2 linked regions of the Drosophila melanogaster genome follow. The protein of the gene in region 1 interacts with the protein of each later gene in a pairwise test. Each region holds a gene or a part of one and is shown on either strand. Other genes may lie near its edges.

Evidence for each region. The genes of interacting proteins can lie anywhere in the genome.
Region 2: the proteins of Fkbp39 (region 1) and Chd64 interact in a two-hybrid assay, tested with the Drosophila melanogaster proteins (one study listed by BioGRID).

What each region holds. Positions count from the first base shown.
Region 1 is NT_033777.3:15,324,960-15,336,805, reverse strand, and holds Fkbp39 (FK506-binding protein 39kD), read left to right. Parts: upstream 1-3,672; 5' UTR 3,673-3,777; coding exon 3,778-3,793; intron 3,794-3,977; coding exon 3,978-4,190; intron 4,191-4,257; coding exon 4,258-5,102; 3' UTR 5,103-5,222; downstream 5,223-11,846. Other genes in the region: Cyfip (cytoplasmic FMR1 interacting protein), read right to left, coding at 1-472, 534-733, 788-900, 961-1,253, 1,309-3,140, 3,211-3,417; mRpL9 (mitochondrial ribosomal protein L9), read right to left, coding at 5,249-5,923, 5,981-6,052; ea (easter), read right to left, coding at 6,445-7,175, 7,240-7,626, 7,813-7,873; CG6236 (uncharacterized protein), read left to right, coding at 8,761-8,879, 9,026-9,176, 9,243-9,430, 9,493-10,096, 10,154-10,514, 10,571-10,875, 10,953-11,267. UniProt on the Drosophila melanogaster protein: PPIases accelerate the folding of proteins. May function in a signal transduction cascade during early development.
Region 2 is NT_037436.4:4,116,424-4,124,228, forward strand, and holds the start of Chd64 (Chd64), read right to left. Parts: upstream 5,966-7,805; 5' UTR 5,787-5,965; coding exon 5,733-5,786; intron 1-5,732.

The DNA.
Region 1 (11,846 bases):
CTCCTGCGAGAGCGCCTGTTCGATCAGCAGGCAAAAGATAATGCTGTTGCCAAACTCCCGGAAAGACTGAAATAGCTCTGTCTTCGCGTCCGGATATTGCACGATGTCTGTAAGATGAGCCTGATAGTAGCTGAGCACTCCAGGCGAACCATATTCGCAACGGGGTAGTTTGCATGACTTGGGCATGGCAATCATCAGCGTCTTGGTGAACTGCAGCAGCGAGCCCTGGATCAGTGGCTTAACAATGTCCTTCAGTATAATGTCCATGACGACTGCTATGCCCTGATAGCCCAGCAGGCGGCACATGGCATGGAAATGCGGTGAACCTACAAAGCCAGTGTACTGGCCATACTGTGTGGAATAGGCAGCATTCAGCTGCTTGGAACCCCACAGATAGTAATGGGACATTTGTGGCGGCTTCTCACGCTGAATAGCCTGTGACGACGAAAGATTCACTTTGGTTCGAATGAAACTGCAAGAGATAATAGTAATAATAAGTATTTTAAACAATAGAAAATTGGCGGCACACCCACCGATTCGTGGCTGCATTATAGCAGTAATTGACCAGAAAGTCGTAGTTCAATTCCACAAAGACGTGCAGTGTTATTCTGCCGTAAGGCGCCAGTACATTGTGGTTAGCCTCCTTTACCATGCCGTCAAAGTTATCCAGGGCCAAGTACTTGCTTAGCAACTTGTGGCAAATTCGATTCGCCTCTAGCAGGCCTTCGAGTTCCTGAAATTAAGCGAATTAGAGACCGATTCTAGACATCTGTAGGATTCCACTTACCACAATGCCGGTTATATCGTTGCCCTCGAAACGACTGATGGCCAACTCAATGCTCTTGTGCATGTTGGCGTTTATGCGTTGTGTGATCAGTTTGTTCAAGTCAATAGAACGGCCTTAAACGAATGGAGAAACCATTAACCAAAAGATCATGATGCAATGGGTGTTTTGCTTACCCAAAAGTTGGACATGTCGTTGTTTTAACAAGGTCTCATAACGATTATTGCGGGGATACGACTGGAAGTTGAAACCGAGTACCTCGCACTCCAAACGGAATCGCTTGTCCAAGAAGATGCTGCCCGCCAATTGCTTGTAATGGGCAAAGATCTGCTCGCTCAGCTTGTAGACAAACTGATCGAAGCACAGATTGACTTCGGCCTCCACTTCGTCGTACAGGAACTGCTTTCGGAAGACAGTGAGTGCGTAGTACGCCGAGTCGTTGTACAAGTCCAGGGGATACAAGACAAATCTGTGTGAGGCACTTAGTTAGTTCAGATCATTTCACCTATTCGCCATTTACTTACTCCATCATTGAGGGCTCCTTCGTTTGCAGAATGTGATCGGTTAGGATCCAGGGCATGGACATTTCAATCGGAAACTGAATGCGCTTCTCCATGGTGATCAGATCCTTGCACTCCTCGTTGTGCTGATGCCGCACCAAGCACTTGTTAACCTTACGACCCATGGTCATCTCCAAGTAGAACTCGCGATACCACAGCTGCGAGAGATCGCAGCACTTCTGAAGCGTGTCGCTGAAGTTGAGCAAGTAGCTCCAGTAGAACGATGTCTTGTGGAACGTGTCGATCTGCAGCAAACAGTTTCCGTCGATGTCCTTGCGCAAAGTGCGCTTGCCGCCGCTTTTGTCGGCAATCAGAGACTCCAGCATGGTGCGCACCATGTATAGCTGAGTGGAGGAAGGTCCCACATTGAGGCGAGGCACCTGGATGCGGAAGCCGCCGTCGGGATCCTTCTTGCCCTTGGCCACTGGATCGTCGGTGGGCTCATAGCCCTTTTGCCAGTCCGCCGATGTCTCTCGCACCGACATGATGATGCTCCGGATAAGATCCTTCTTATTTTTTACGGCCTTTCGCAGCGGTTCACGAAGCGAAAGCTGCACGAAGTCCTGCAGCTCGGAATAGATGTTACGCCGGATAGCCTCGCACAATACGGTTTCAATGCGCGCCATTAGCACCTGCAGTCCCTTTATCATGGCGATGACCTCGATCAGCGCGAACTTCTCTTCCGAGGTGTAATTGTAGCGGGTGGCCCGCTCGTACTCCTCAGCCTCCACGGGGCACTCCTTGTTCTGGTGATGATCAGTCGGATGCAGGAGCTTCCAGGAGTACAACTCGGTGACCACACTGGTCCACTCGGACAGCAATTGAAGGCCGCGCAGAGCCAGGTCGGCCGTAATCCGGTTCTCGGCATCAGAGGGATTCTCCTTGACGGTGGTGGTCACCTCGTTTGTGTATCGCGCCAGCTCCGAAATGTACTTGACGTGATCCTCGCGTATCTGCGGCAAATGCACCATTAGATCCGCCTGTGGGCTGATGGCGTTTGAGCTGGACAGCGGCCACTTGCTGGAATCGAAGTGCTTGCTGCGCTTTATGTAGTTGAAGGGAGCAATCTGCATGTCGCCGAAGAGGGGCACCACTTCCAGGTTCTTAAAGATGCGATCGATGCGATCCAGCCGTATCTTCTTCTTTTGATCAAGTTTGTTGATATTGCACGCATCGCTGTCCATAAGGAACAGGCCAAAGCCCATAACTTTTACCAGCATGTGCTTCTCCTCAGGGGTCAAGTACATCTTTGTCTCGAACATATGCACGCAAATGTTGACCACATCTGAGAGCAGATCCTCGTAGCCCACGATCTTCTCCAGCGTGTCCTTGACCGTGTCGCGAATCTTGTTCTGCGTGGCCAGGAACATGGACAGATTCTGCGACTCCTGCAAGGTGTGCGAGTCCGACATCACTTTGAGGAACTGCGCAGCTCGCCTGTAGGTGGAGTAATCGTTCTTCACGCTGGACTTCATGTTCTTCAGCTCGTCCAGCACGGCAAACATGTTGATAAACTTGCCTAGCGTCAATAGGTACGCCTCGGACACGAAGTCCTTGCGCTTCTCGGCGTGGCACAAGCGCTTCACCTCGCCGGAGAAGGCCTCGATGGCCTTGCGTTGGAAGTACATGAAGTTGAGCAGCTTGTTCACCTCCGGGGCTAGCACCTCGACCGTCTTCTCGTAGATCTCCACGCGATTCGGCTGCTCATTGGACTTGGGCTGCGGAATGGCGCGCGAGCAGCAGCGCCAGGTGTAGAGCATTACTGCGTGTTTCTGCCCCTCGTCCAGGAGCACATTCTGCGGGCGGAGAGAAGGGGTTCAGAGCTGTGAGTAATGCTAATGCGATAAGCCGGATACGCTAACTCACCAAGTTGGCATGGGTGGTGGCCTCCTCGATGTACTTGGCGATACCCGTGACAAATCCATTGCGATCCTCGAAATTCGTATCGAAGTTTGCCTTGTAGATAATCGAGCAGGGCTGCGCCTCGATGCAGGGCTGCTCGTCCGGCAGGGATAGCTCGTCCAACACCTCCACGTTGGACAGCGCGTCGGCTAGCGTAATCTTCTCCGTCATGCTGGGCTGCTTATCATGCTCCAGCAGCGCGAAATGGTTAAATTCTAACAAGGCGGGGCCCCAATCCAATCGACACAAATTTTTTTCGCCACAAATACAACACGACTTTTACCATTCGCCTGGGTGCGTGGACACGTGGCCATAATTAGCACATTTTTGCTGGCGGTTGGCGTCTACGATGTGCTTATGCTTATATGGCTGCGCACCGCTAATTTCGATAAGAGAAAGATAATCGATAAATACGGCGCATTGGCGGCACATCACATCACTAGCGTCTGTGGTTCCGTTTCGTTTTAGCGAACTCAATTTCTCCTATTTTATATTGCATTTTCCGTTAAGAGTAGCCTACAATTCTGCAAGATGTCGATGTTTTGGGGTAAGTCGAACTGATCTCACTTGCCCCCTCCGGGCTGGTTGTGCCAACGAGCTCTTGGGTGCTCCGACCGCGCTTTTATTGCCACCACGTGCTTGCCGCTCGATTTACCGGCAGCGTGGAGCGGCGCCATTTGCACGCCGATGTAAAGTAAACCATGTTTTTGACCAACTGTGTCCTCTTCCAGGTTTGAACATGAAGCCTGAGCGCAAGTACTCGCAGACGATCATCAAGTCGTTCCACATCTCGGGCGTGGCACTCGACAAGGGCCAGGAGGCCAAGTTGTACCTCGCTGCCGAGAAGCAGGAGTACATCGTGGCCACCGTGACCAAGGCCATTCCACAGGTTGCGCTCGACCTGAACTTCAGCAAGGGCGATCGCATCATGTTCTACACCGCCGGTAAGACCTTTTATGTCCACTATGTTCGCATGTTTATCCGTTTCTGACGCTTTCGTTCGTTTCACAGGCGACGCCAGCGTTTCTCTGTTGGGCTACTTGCACGACATTGATTCCGAAGATGATGAGGATGACGATCAAATGACGATCGAGAATTTGCTGAACTCCAAGGCGATCAAGAATAGCAAAAAGTCTGAAGATGATGAGGATGAGAATGAGAGCGGCGAGGAGGACGAGGAGGATACTGATGACGATAGCCAGATAATCGAGGAATACGAGTCCTTCCTCGAAAATGGTGAGGAGGAAGATGACGACGATGTTGATGAGGATAACGAGGAGAGTGGCGAGGAGGATGAACAGGACAGCGACGACTCCGAAGCTGAAGAGGAACAGCCAAAGGCCAAGGTTGCCAAGCTCTCTCCTGGCGCTAGCGCCAAGAAATCTGGCAAGGAGCAGAACGGTGTGGCCAAGAAGGAGGAGGCCAAGCAGCAGCAAAAGAAGAAGGAGAAGCCAGAGGCCAAGAAGGAACAACCCAAGGCCAAGGAGCCAGCCAAGCAGCAACCAGCTTCTAAGGATCCACGTACTATCACCGGAGGCGTGAAGATTGTGGATCAGGTCGTCGGCAAAGGCGAAGAAGCCAAGCAGGGCAAACGCGTATCTGTTTACTACATCGGCCGCCTGCAGTCGAACAACAAGACCTTCGACAGCCTCCTGAAGGGAAAACCATTTAAGTTCGCCCTGGGCGGCGGAGAGGTCATCAAGGGCTGGGACGTGGGAGTCGCCGGCATGAAGGTGGGCGGCAAGCGAGTCATTACCTGCCCCCCGCACATGGCGTACGGCGCACGGGGAGCTCCACCGAAGATCGGACCGAACTCCACTCTCGTCTTCGAAGTGGAACTGAAAGCTGTGCATTAGTGCACTATATTAACATCATATAGACTTGTAATCCTAAGTAAGTATCCACGTCGTACAACTTGATAAAAATGTTAAATAAACTCTGTTTTCCGGCTGTTCATAAATCAACAGTTTTGTAACAATCGCATGTATTTGGTATGGGGTCTCTAAGGGGTTTTTTCGGGTGAACATACATCCAGCAGGGGCTCAGACTGGAGTTTCCAGTGCTCGAGTACGTAAGGCAGCCGTTCGCTGGGATCTGTGCTCCAGTGGTGCAGACGACACTTGAGTCGCGCCTGTTCCAGCTTGTTTATGGTCACAGTGCAGTAGAAGTCCTTGTTCTCCTTCTTCAGGTCGGGTCCCTCGATGCGCTCCTTGGGCAGGGTAATGCACTCCTCGCGACAATAGAACCCAGTCTTGCGCAGCGAGGCCTTGATGTGCCAGGGCTCGAGCACCCATGGCTCATCCTTGTTCATGACCACCGCCAGCACAATGGTCTCCAGCATGTTGACCGTGCGCTGGGCGTAGGGGGAGCTGTGTTTAACAGTCGATTTTTCAGCCTCTGTCTTGGCGTACTTGGCCACATTCTCCGGCGTATTGTACGCGGCCAAACCCGGCAGCAGGAGCTTATTGTAGACAAAGTGCGGCTTCATTGACACCACGTCGCCCTTGTCGCCAACGCCCTCGACGAAGGTCTTTAGCACCACCTCGATGTTGGGCCGCTTTTTGACCAGCGTGTCGTCCACGAGCTCGTAGATGAAGTTCTTGGCCCTCATCCGGCGGGGTTTCTCGTTGGTTTTGTGCAGCGGCGGGTCATATTTGCGCTTCAGGACGAACGTGGTCTGGAAGCAAATTGGTGGTGAATGGGGATCGCTTCCCTAATCCAGGAGAGCACTTACCCGCACTTGCTGCTGCAGGCTGGTGGCCGATTTAAGCAAATTTAACGGCGTTACGTAGATGTTCTTCAACATTTTTACCACCAATATGTCTGCGTTGCCAGACTACTCAGCCAGTTTGCAGTGTTGCCAGATATGATTATTTAATCTGCGTGAGTTCAGCAGTAAAATTTTCAGTGACTTTGAAAACGATTATGAATTTAGTTTTTTTATTGCAACTATTTCTTTACATTTTAATAAAGCAAAATAATTTGCCCAATTTACCTTTTAATTGATTAAAAAAAATGTACCTTTGAAAGTATTATGACTGTCAATTTTAATTTAATAGTTTCATTACAAAATAAAAGATTGACTATGCCAATATTTCGGCGAACGCGCCCATCGACATGCAGTATGCGTACACGCTGTGAAGCAGTTTTTAAACGGAAACCGTTAGTCGAATTTATTTACAATATGACATTTTACAATCAGGACTCAATAGTGTTTTGTATCCAATCAACGTACTTGCCCACCAGCGTGTAAACTCCTGGCCATCCGGCCAGACCGCACGGAGTCGGTCCAAATGACACGACGCCGGCCAGGAAGTAGTAGGTGTTCACCTTGTTGGTGTCCAAGCCGATGAGCGGTCCCCCGGAGTCACCGCGACAGGAGTCGACGCCTTCCTTGCCGCCGGCACACATCTGTGTGTCCTCGAGGAGAATGTCCTGGCTGCTGTAGACGTTCTGGCACTCATCCATCCGGAATCCCTCCACGGCTGCCTTCAGCTTGAGGTTGCTGGCCGACAGCTGCTCCGTTTTGCCCCAGCCGGCCACGTCCATGGTGATGCCGTCGAAGGTGGCCGACCGCAGATTGACGTCCAGAGGCAGGCAAATGGGTCGCACAAAGTCGGTGTACTCCACCTGCTGGGCCAGACGCAGCAGGGCTATGTCGTTGACCTGGTTCTTGGAGGCCGGTATATAGTCGGGATGGGGTATAGTACGCTCCACGGGCACGTCCAGATGCGGTGGCGCGCAGTCCTTCATGCCGCGCACATCTACTTCGCAATCGGGATTAGTGTTGGTGTCCCATTCGCCCAAACGAACACCGGACAACCGCCAGTCGGTGGGCAGTGCCTTTCCGTTGACACAATGCGAGGCTGTGATCACATATCTTGTGCTGATCAAGGATCCGCCGCAATGGTGACCCTTTTTGCCCTGGCCTGCATGTAGGAATTAACCAGTGGATAAGTGCGTTCAGACTTAAGACGATGCCCCTCTACTTACTTTTGGTGTATTCAATTAGAGCCATCCAGGGGAACTCGTCGATCTTGGTCTTCATTCCGCCATAGATGCGATTGGACAGGATGTTGCCGCATTGTCCTGGCAGCGGCAGAAGGCTGTTGCTGGTTACATTGGGCTTGGGCGGTGGCGTCGTCTCCGATGAGCTCTCCCTGTAGCGGTCCGGACAGCAGATGAGCACCTTGCCGTTCGTATAGCCGCACTGGCTGCGACTCAGGTAAAGCCGGTCCGTGTCCCGGAGCGGGGTGGTGGTCAGCAGGCCGTATAGGTACTTGCAGTCCTCCAGATGGATGCACAGCGCACGCTCCCGATTCGGCGTTATGCAGCGCCCATAGTTGGGCACCTGGGCCGCCTCGTTGGGGAAGTAGAACTCTGGAAATCCAGACTTTAGGTTCAGAGAGCTTACCAATATTGTGAATACATAAATTAGGTCATTAGCTATGGAAGTACGGAAACAGGTTTCCAGCGACTTGTGAAGGCCCGCGGCAAAAAAAAACAAATACGTTAAGCTAGTCATGTCCAGCAGATGAGCATCTTGGCAGTCTTCTATTTACTTACGGCCCGCCGATGATTTCGCCAAAATGCCCAAAAAGAGGCAGATAATCGATGGCTTTAGCATTTTCGTTGCGCAATCGGACCTCGTTAGTCCTTTCTCAAGACGTCGTCAGTGGTTTGCGGATAATGTTTTGCCTAAAAACAATATTACAGACCGACCGCAGAAGCAGTTATCAAAATAAACGGCGCGATAATATGGACGATACCAGGTGCCACAGCGGAGCGGAGTGAAACGAAGAGGCCGAAGCTGAGCTTGGCGCACAACTGAATCTTCGGACGGACGCGGTTCTCGGCCTGCGAGCTTTGTCGCAAGCTTTTTGGCGAGTCTCCAAATCAGATATGAAGATAATCGTGGGAGCAGATCTTTATCTCTCTTCCAATTATTATTCTTAGTAATTGTCAGTTGGCTTATTTAACTTTGGTACTAATAGAATTTACTTTGTCACATGCTGAGTGTAAGTAAAGTACTCGGCAAATTTAAGGGAGTATCTACCATTATTTAATCCCCGCCTAAGTTCGATTGTATCACATGGTGTTTTGATAGCAAAAAGCACTATCATTAACGATAAGCTAACGGTATATTTCGTTCTACAGCAAACTGAAAGTTCTACCGACTTTAAATCGGACCTAAAGCAAAGTTTAAAGTCGCAGTTTAAATTGCAGCGGTCGCGTTGCCAAACAACACAGTATGACCGAATTCGCAATGTTGTTTGCCACTGTTTTGGCAACTCGCATATAGCGGTACGTCGCAGCTGGTGATAAGTTAAATGTTTAATTTAAAAAATGAGCGTGGATATTTAGTAAAGGTCGAATAGGCGGCAAGTTTGGAGATCGGCAGTGGTGTAAGTAGTACGTCGCTTGAGTGCCGAGTGAGTGCTGTATGTGCAGCAATAATGCGAATGCAAGTCTCATGTGTCTGGTCCGATATTTGCAGCTCATAATTTATTCAAAATGCGCTTTGTGCGGCGGGGAACTGTCCCCAAGATTGCAGCATGTTGCTGTGTGGTGGTCCTGCTGGTCACCTGGTATGTGTTGAACGTGGAGCGGGATCTGGATAAGAGCCTCAAAATGTAAGTATGTCTAGTTGTGCGTCACAGCGGCTTGGGATATTGATTGTACGATGTTTGTCCATACATATGTATATGTACATATGCGCATATTTGTGATAAAGAGTATTTATCTTTTGCAACTAATTCAATTTTGTATTTAATTAAAGCGAAATCATCGAGCGCTCCATAAGATCGGCTGTGAATCGTGGCGAGTGCCGGCATCCCCATCTGCCGCTGGACAATCCGGACATCATGAAGTTCTACAAGCCGGTTGAGCGAATAAACTGCGGCGAGGGCATGGACTGGGTCATGTGTGAGGTTGGTTGGGACTGGGCCCCTTCTACAAGAGCTGATTGCTTAACTTAAACCTCGTTTCCCCCAAAGAAATCCATTTGCTTTGTGCGACCAGAGATTGCGTCCAGCCACGAGGATGTGATCTGCTCCTACACGGACATTATTCGCAAGTCGGACTACAAGGTTCGCTTTGGGCAGTCACTGCGCATGAAGGAGCCCTATGTGCTGCAGGCCAGCGACTTTGTCAAGGTGGTCTGTCGATCCTCCAGCGGCGAGAGGTGACCATTATCTTATTTTATAGTTATGCCTATACTTTAAAGAATGATCTTCATGTACTTAGTTGGTTTGGCATGGCCCACGGAATACGGGATACGGTGCCCCGTCCACCGGCCTCCAATTTCTCCCCGAACTTGGCCGTCCTACCACCCGAGGCGGTTGCGCAGGCCCAGCAGCAGATGCAGGATGGGGCCACAGCTCCCATCTACAATGTCCTCATGTTTGGCTTCGATTCGCTGAGTCGCAATGCCTTCATTCGCAAGCTGCCCAGGACCTACGAGTATCTCACCCAACAGTTGGGCGCCACCGTTCTCAAAGGCTATAACATTGTGGGCGATGGTACGCCACAGGCGCTGGTGCCCCTACTGACGGGTTTCACGGAACTGGAGCTGCCGGAGACAAGGAAGCGGTTGTCCGGGGCAGGCAGCGTGGATTCGTATCCTATGATTTGGAAGGATTTTGCCCGCCTGGGATATATGACCTCCTTTAATGAGGATTTGCCCAATGTGGGCACTTTCACGTACCGCATGACAGGGTTTGAGGCCCAGCCGGTGGACCACTACCTGCGTACCTACTATGTCCAGGCGGAGCACATGGCCGCCGAGAGCAAGCCCAACTGCATTGGCCACCAGCCTGATCACATCACCATGCTGGAGTACACAAAAAACGTATGTTCTCTTTCGAAATGTGCTTGGAAACTAACTCATTGTATAATTTTCGTACAGTTTATGCTTAAGTATCGCGATGCACCGCGCTTTGCCTTCAGCTTCCATGGCGGCTTGTCCCACGACTCCATCAACTTAGTGGGAGCAGCGGATGATGATGTCCATGACTGGCTGGTGGCGCTCAAGGAACGATCGCTGCTAGACGACACCATTCTCATCATGATGGCCGATCATGGCAATCGATTTGCCGAGGTGCGAGCCACTCTGCAGGGAAAACAGGAAGAGCGTCTGCCGTTCTTCAGTTTCGTATTTCCCGAGTCGTTTAAGAAGCGCTTTCCGCAGGAGTACAAAAACTTTCTGGCCAACGAGCATCACCTGACCACGCCATTCGACATTCATGCCACGCTGAAACACGTAATACGTATGTACGACAGAGCGTTAGACATCTACAAGATAATAATGCTGGATTTTTCACAGAACTGCAAACCGCTGTGGATCAATTTGGAGAAATAAACGATCCGAAAACTGAAACAAGCCCGCCTGGGATTCGCATCTCGGAGTTAGCCCGTGGACGTGCCATGTCGCTGTTGGATCCAATTCCGAGCAATCGATCCTGTGCGGATGCCTACATAGAGCCTCACTGGTGTGCCTGCCTCAATTGGCTGCCATTGCAGCTGAACGACTCCCGGTATACGGGCATCATTCTCAAGGCTGCCCAAAGTATTGTAAATGCCATCAACTTGGCCACAGTCGAGCAACGCCAATACTGTGCACCTCTGGAGGTTCGAATCATCAATTTAATGATTACATTTCCAGATAAGATAAAGATCATACTTCCATTTGTTTCATTGTTCAACAGATTCACCGTGTAAATTGGGCGCTGCGTCTGCAGCCGCACAAGGAGCTGCTGCAATTCAGGACAAACAGCGACCGCGACGGCTTCCTGGCGGACATGACGGGTCAGACGCTGGTCCGCGATGAGATGTACCAGCTCCAGGTGGTAACGATGCCCGGCGAGGGACTGTTTGAGGCGAGCGTGGCCTATAGCCTGCACACGTTCAGTGCCACAACGAAACTCACGGACATCTCGCGCGTCAATAAGTATGGAAATCAGGCCCGGTGCATATACGACCGGGATCCGGAGCTGCGGAAGTACTGCTACTGTCGCGATTGATTTGTGCACAAAATGACAAGTCCAAAACATAGAAACTGCTAAGCAATCAACTGGAATAGATTTCTGCACTGATTGTAGATTTTAGATTACTCCTTCCAAAGAATATTGTCACTGGCTCCTTAAGTTAAAAGATCTGCCTCAGTTTGTAATATACGTTCCTTTAATCAACGATAGTAATGAGTTAATAAAAAAATGACATTTTTGTATGTGTAATAAAAAAAAGTAGTCTTAATTAGATATGGGTACAGATCGCCTGGTTAACTGGGGGTAGCCCGAAGTTATGTATGCCAACTCGGGGAATTTAAGTTATAGTTATATGTATGCATACAGTGCAAAATATCTTTTCTTATACTTACGATTACCAATTAAATAGAGCATTTGTGTCGTTCCATATATATATCCTCATATATTTCAAGGCTGATGCTAATCCCTTTCTTAAGTAAGAACTTAATATTTCTGTTTGGATCGCTTAGGCAGATTAACCATAGACTAAAATACACTGCGCACATTATTTGGTTATATAGGCCTCTTATCTTATATAGGTTAACTATAATACTTGAAACTATGATATATTGAGTA
Region 2 (7,805 bases), on another chromosome or scaffold:
CGCAGCGACTCACTTAACACGTATTTATTGGTTTTATTTGATTGAATTGAATCGCTGTCACAAACTGATTTTAGATTAAGAACAAGTACTAAAAACTAAGTTAGTGGAGCTATAAAAACTGTTCGCAATATATTATGAGCTGAATATTATACAATACTACTCAGTACTATATGAATGAATTTTTGATCAAATATATGTTTCAAATATATTGATAAGATTGTTTTTTTTTGTCTATAGATAAAGTTTGATTGAACAGCGTTGCTATCTTCACAACTCATATCTAAAAGTTTTTTATTTGTGGTACCAATATTTTTTTAAGTTGTGTTTTTTTCCCTATTAATTTAGCCTTCATTGTATTACTATTTAGTATTTGTGTGATTTTTGCTCTGACTGGCAAGTCTATTAAAACGAATGATCTCAGAGCAACCGAATGAACGATTGTCGCCAATTGAGTTGTATTCCACTTCTTATCGCTGGACGTGGGGAAATGCAAGCCCACAAATTGTTGGGAAATGGGGGAGAAGTTGGCGATGCAGTAAAACAAAAGTGAAATACAGTCCGGACGCTTTTCCCCATGTTTTTGTGTGCTTAATGAAGGTGAATGCACTTTGCACACACAATATGTATTTATACCACTCCAACTAATTCCAGCAACCCAATCCCTTCCCGAGCCACAGAAGTCCGCGGCTATCGTAGATTAAAAATTTACGACTTTTTTGTTGTTCGAACCCAATAAAGGCCAGCGATCTTTGAGTGAGATAAGCACAGTATATGGTAATCGCCGGGAAATGGCTTTATCTAGCCAACGTGCTGGCCAAAACTGGAGATTATCAATAATTGCAATCGACCGTTGGCCAAATTGCTTTGTCCGACTTTTTCAGCTTAACGGTCAAGCACTTAACAGCAGAGGTCAATTCATTAGAGCCCGAAAAGAGCGATGAACGGAACGCCAACGGAACAGCACCATTCATCATCGAAAGCGTGAGACAATTAATAAAAGCAATTTCTGATTGACATTCCGTTGGAGAATCGGGAATCTGAAATCTGGTCGCGGCCAGAAGTTGATGATCATAACTTAGAGCCCCTGATGGTGGCAGATAAATTGACACCCTCGGGGCAGATGAATAAATTTTGATTAGGAATGGGATGCTGATGCTGATGTTTATGGGATTCTGCGGCCAGTTTATGCATACTATTCATACATAATAATCGTAAGCCAAAAGCCGTTAAGAGCCTAATGAATTCCGATCGTTTCTTACACGTTTTTTGGCTCTTCTGCGAAGATCCCAAGATCCGGCAAACAAATCCAGCAGAACAAATTTGACAGTTGGTGGTCCCCGGACAGACAAACAATGTTCGAAACTAAATGAAAAATGGTGGAGAATAGCCAAGTTATTCCTCCAATTCTTCCGAAGCCTCGTCTTCTATAAAATACATATTTTTAGCGCTGTTTTAATGAGTCAGCAGCCAGTCAGCCAGCCAGTGAGTTTCATTTGTGTTTTTGTTTGGTTTGTGCGCTATGAGGTCGACTCAAAACTCGGCGACGATCGAATGCCGGGCCAAAAGTACAGCCAGTAATGGAGTACACCCCATATATACATACATATATATATATATATATATATAAGTATTTCTCTAAAAACATATGTACAGCTGGTTAGAATATACTACTGCCTTATCGGGAGTCAAGAATTCCAGACGAAAGCCACCGCTCGATACGAACTCAAAACGTATAAAACACAATAAATAATTAGAAGCGGAACTACAAATTAGTCAACGTTTGCCGTTAGAAATTACGATGATTTCCTTATGTTTCCCCAGCCAAAATTATATTTCATTTTACATTTTTTTTTTTTTGGGTCTCTGGGTCACTTGATGAGTTAGCCACGATTAGGGGCCATTACAAAGCGGCGTGACAATGAAGGGCTCAGTAGACTCAAGAACCTAATTAATTTCCCAGCTCATGATGTACAACGTATTCTATTTTCAAGTGCGTTCTGGGTGGATGGCATTCCACACGCAATGCGCATTAGTGGCCAAGACATGCCAAGCCAAGCCTGGTTGGCTTTTAGTGAAATTAAAATTGCTCAAAAACTGGCTGAGCCAGCATAAAACTCCTGCTTTCCAAAATTGTAAAAAAAAAAAACTGGGGGTCAGCAGAAACCCAAGCTCCGAAAAAAGTCCAGTTTCTTGGGAGAGCGCCTGCCCACGCCAACTCAATTTAATTCACACCTACGCCACTTGAAAAGTGAAAATGTTTTGGTACAACATAACATTATTATTTATGTTCATCATGATTCAGACTTCACAATTGAGTGAGAGTTCCGAGAATTTACTTCACTACGAGTTTTATGATCAAAGATTTGTGCAAGTTTCCGAAACTTCGGGAAGTAGTTAATGATAGCCAGCTCATTTATTTAAAAAATTCAGAAAATAAAATATTTTAAAAACTTGATTTTTAGGAATCATATGCTTCCTTTAATGGATTACTAAGCCGTACCATTCAGTTTGTTTTAAGAAATAAGTTTTAGCTTCAGCAAGAAACTAAGTGTCTCTAATATTCTAAAAACGTTTTATACTTAATAAATAATGAATCCCTATTGCAAATTTGACGGAAGTTTCCGCCCAAAAGCCGGCGAGGAGCCCCAGACTGATGATCATTGCATAATAATCCATTGTAGGATCACAGAAAAAGAGACAGGGGCACGTTTTGCTTGGCTGATGGCTTTTTGAAGCCGATGGTGGTGATGTCATGGCATCGTTATGGCTTGAATTTGAACTTTGGCAATATTTGAGCGCAGATACATAGATGTAGATGGTGATGGTGATGATTAGTTAAATGTGTGTTTTTTTTTATTTTGCTGCGAAAGGGATCGCTGGGAGTTGACGCATCCATCGCCAGGCAAACAATTACGTAATCGCGTCTTCAAAAATCAATCCACGAAATGGCCAGATCTGGTGATTATTCACTATGCCACCGCCGATTTCGCTTTCTTTTGCGATTCGAATGCGTCATGATCCATGACAATTGCTGACCGATATCTTTTGGGTGGATAAATAAATGGGAAAATGACAAAAATTCCACAACGATAACATAAACAAAATCCGCAAAAATGTAACGAGGTCAATTGCGTACATACATATATGATTTTTGAGTCTGGTTTACGAGCGACCAACTTCGACTTCAGTTGACTGAGTTGTTGTATGGGCCCCCATCGAGTGCCTTTTTCGGAGGGATTTGGACAGGGGGCAGAATTTCATTCCATTTTCATTTGTCGAGGTGTTTTCGGCACTGGCAGTAGTTTCACCGGAAATCCAAAACAGCATTTGATTTACGATAAAGCCGCTGTCGACCACCTCCCGCGACTGTTTATGGCTTATCTAAAACTAGCGGCCAACAAGTGTTAAATTTTTGGGGGAGAGGTTCGGGAATGAATACCTAGCTATACCCATCTAGGAGCACGGAGTTCATGTGGGCCAAGTGTTCCACTTACGTGTCGCCCGCACTGATAGAGATACCCGTACCTATACTGATATATAGATACAGATACAGGGAGGTGCGTGCTGCGGATGTACAAGTGTGTACACAGTGTCTTTCACATATGCACTGCTAATTGAGTGTGGATTCTTGACTCCGAAAAAGGCCAAGTGATTAGTACGTGGCCCATGTGCCGCCAATGCGGTGAGATACAGCTGCGAGCGTGGAGGGAGTTGGAAAAGAAAACAACTACAGTGCGGCTTCTTAGGGGTGAATTTCCAGAAAGGAAATAGTATCATGCTGAATCTAAGATTGCTAAACTAATATATTCAATCGTTTATGTAGTTACAAATTAGTAAACATACTTTGAGTAACTTGAGACCTTTCTGCCTCATTCCTAGAACTTTCCCGACAGCTGGTGCTACGATCCCAGGAAAGGGTTGAAAATAAAGGGGCTACGAATTCCCTGGCCGAAACTTGAGATCCATGCCAATTTGTCGGTGACTGGTCGTAAAAGTCGGAAAAAGCACACACGCAAGCACGGAGTGTAGAGAACCCATGAGACAAACAAAAATATTGCTTTCATACCTTTTTGCCTCACTTTTGTTTTGCTGTTTGCTTACGCCACATACTCAGTTTTAAGTGCTCATGTGGTGGAAAAGGTGCTGCTATCGCCTCTACCTCCTGTCACCCCCAAAAACTCAAAACCCGAACCCGAATCCCCCTCAGAAGATATGAGTGACTCCCAGCGAGCGGCAAAAGTGCTCAAACTAACAACGCCTTCGAGTTGAATGGATCGCGAAGGGATCGAGGAGCACCAGTGGAGGGACAGCTGAAGGAATGACATCATCGCCTTCGGCTCCTGGGGAGCCATTCGATCGCGGCTTGGAGTCGCGCCAGCAGCTGCGCCTCCAGGCACTCGCCTCTATTTCTCTTATTTTTCTATACCCTATGCCAAGGTTCTTCCTATTCCAAGTACCAAAATGTTTTAGCTTAACATGATATGGCATAAATAAACACTACAGAGTTCTCATAATATTTTTCATAACCATAGTGCCTGATATATCACCATAAACCACGTTAAAACATACTTCATACTGTGTTTTAAAACATACTGTGTTTTAAAAATGCGCTAGTACAGATAATACCGATAAACAAGGCCTTTTGCCAAATGGCTGACTCAAGAGAATGAAATCCGGGTGGAAATACTTTTAGATAAGCAAAGCTAAAGCAAAACAAAATATTTCAGTTTGTCAACAACTTGGTAAAGTGCTCCTCAAGGGTATACAAAACTTCGGATATGAAAAATCTCGATTATTTGTTTCGTTTTTTGTTTGGGCAATGCTGTAACTGTAGTTGTCTTGTTGTGGATTTCGTCGGACTGCACTTAATCCCCTGTGCCGGCGACATATACAATTTCACTTGGGGCTGCCCAGGGGCGGTTGGAATTGCGTAACCCCGACTTGACGAGGGCCAAATGGCCGAAGGGTACGGGTAACCCATCCCCAACCCCATCCCACCCACAAAAGCCCGATGCATTTGTATGAGTGCATTTGAGGCAAAGTGCTGCTAATGGACGGAACTAATGTCAATTTACATTGCGGAAGCTACCATGCTGCAATAGTTGGGTTGAGATCATCCAAAGGGTCTTCCTTCTACAGTGGATACTCCACAAGTAGCACCTATGTATTCAGACTTGCTTTTATTGCAGCACAATTAATTAGGATTATATTAGCTCATCTTTATAATGTATACTGTTCGAACTTGGGATATTATTCATATCGAAATTTCCAGAGCTTTACTAACTACTACTAATTGTTTGATTTATGGATAACCAACTGTTTTCTCGATCTTCGATTTGAATCACCCGCACTGACAATGCCTCAAAATCACCTAAATCATCTTCAAGCTTTCGAATTACGCATGCATTACACATGTGTGTACATGCATGTATATATTCCTATATACATATGTATGTACATAAATACTTGTTCGACTTATCAGCGAAATGAGGTCATTCCTTGTTAGACGCTGGCAATTTCAAGACCATTTTTGGCTAATTTTTGGCATTTGGCGCGCGAAGATAAAATCTTGACAACGCAGCGCCAAATAAAGTCAATGCAGCTCTAAACTCACGCACACACCCGTGCAAAAGTTGATTTTTTTTTGGGCAATTTGTTTATTGTGTTGTTTTGTTTGGCGCTCTTCGGTTTTTGGGTGGGGGGTGCGGTTGTTGTTGCTATTTGGTACTTACTTTGCGCTGGGCCTCGGCGGCAAAACCAGACTTCGCTGCACGGTTGGACGCCATAGTTATTTGATGAAGAAACGGGTTTGCAGGGAGCTAAAATGTAGGTTGGTCTTGGGCTGAACTGCACCACTGTCCACTGGAATGTGTTTGCCGCGGAATAAATCGGAGGGAGCGCAAGGGTTAAGGCCAAGTTGGTTGGGCTACGTCCGTTCGCAACGAAAACTTACTACGTTATGAAAGGCGGTCCGAGCTGCGAAACAGAGGAAAGCTCGCCAACAGTTTAGTGTTGTAAAGCACACTCAGTCTTGTACCTAGTAGGTTGGGTACAACATAAAAGCTCCAAGCTGCGCTTATCAGCGGCAGCTGATTTGTTATGATGGCATTGATGATGTCATACCGCTTTGTTAACGGCAGTTGTTTTTCAAATAATAAAACATGGAACTATCGAGCACTGGAAACAATTTTACACTATATAAGTATAAATTTAAAATTTCTGGTTCATTTGCCTTCTAAACCAGTAACTTTTGTTTTCAATAGGTTTTGAAAAGATAATGAATCTGAATCAGTATGATTTCCATGATCCACCTGTTGCTTTACTTTTAATAGAAGTCAACCACTATTAGTGCTACTTTTTGCGGTTGTGTACAAACTATCCGATAAGATTCGCCAGAGTAAAGTTCCATTGAAAACTTCCTATGTTCCCCCTTATCGAGAGGTTCTTGCAGCAGCATTCCATTCAGATGACCATGACATTTTTGGGGGACTTTCTGGAAACCAAGAAGTAGCGAATCGCATTTGGATGATTGCCTTGAGAATTAGTTACAGTTTATTCACATAAATATATATTTTGTTTAATCGTATAAATTATGCAATTGTGGATTTACGATAAGAAGCGAATTTCTTTAGTGTTTCAGTGTGGTTCTAAATAAATAGGGGAATTGCTTGTATAATTTGTTGTTCTATTTGTCGTGTTTGTTTTTTTTTTTTTATGTGTGGGTTGTGATATATTTAATATTAGAAATACATAATTCAGCTTGATCTTCAAAGGTTTGTTATGTTGGTAGCATACACATTTAACTTATGTGGGCTTGTCTTTTGTTTTGATTATATCGCCATTTGGTTTATAACATAGGAAAGCAGTAATTAACTAGAAGTTAGGGCTTATTAGTTGCATACACATATTGCCATTATAATATATTATTCTATTAACGGTTTTCGCATGCGAATAATATGCCTGCTATATCTGTTTTTATAACCGATCTGCATACATCGATCATGCATCCTACTAATTGTTAAGGCCCTTTCGCTCAGATACAAGTGGGTAGTGTGTGATTTTCGTATTATATATAAATCGATTCATTTTTTACAATCTGTTATGCATGCTTCGAGGGGGACGACTCTTTAAAAAATAATCATCATAATTTATTTTTGCACATGGATAAATACAAATTACAAATATAAATGTGTATATGTATATATAAAAAATCATTTACCAAAAAATATATACGTAGACGCAAAAGAGACGCAATAATATACAGAGAACATTCCTATAATAAAGGGTGACATAAGCATAATCAGATTTGGGACTCCTACTACAAATAGTACAACATGGTAGAACTACCAGTTCCACTAGACCTAGGCATGTGTATATCAAGCACTGACATCTGTGATTACAGTGGGTGTATATATCCGCGTGTAATTGTTTTATTGTTTACAGGCTACCTATGTATCTGCTCGACTAGCTGCGAACAGTATCAGCAAATAATTTCAATTGAATTTCCTTATTTCCTCCTCTTTCCTATGTTTTTTTTTTTTCGTTTGTTTCGTTTTGTTTAAATAAATAATACCTCACGATTCGTTGGCTCAACGTATTAAACTTAACTTACAGAACAACTGTGCAAAGTTGGGCAAAAAATAAAGAGGGGGTTCGAATATGCCCTCCTAGCAGTGAGGCGCTGTAAATGTGGATGGGTTAATGGTATGTGGATACCGCGTCTTCGTATTCTTTTATTGCTTGCTCGGGACCCGTCCACACACAATTCGATCTGGGTGCCCCGTAGAATCTCGCGTTGTTGTTTA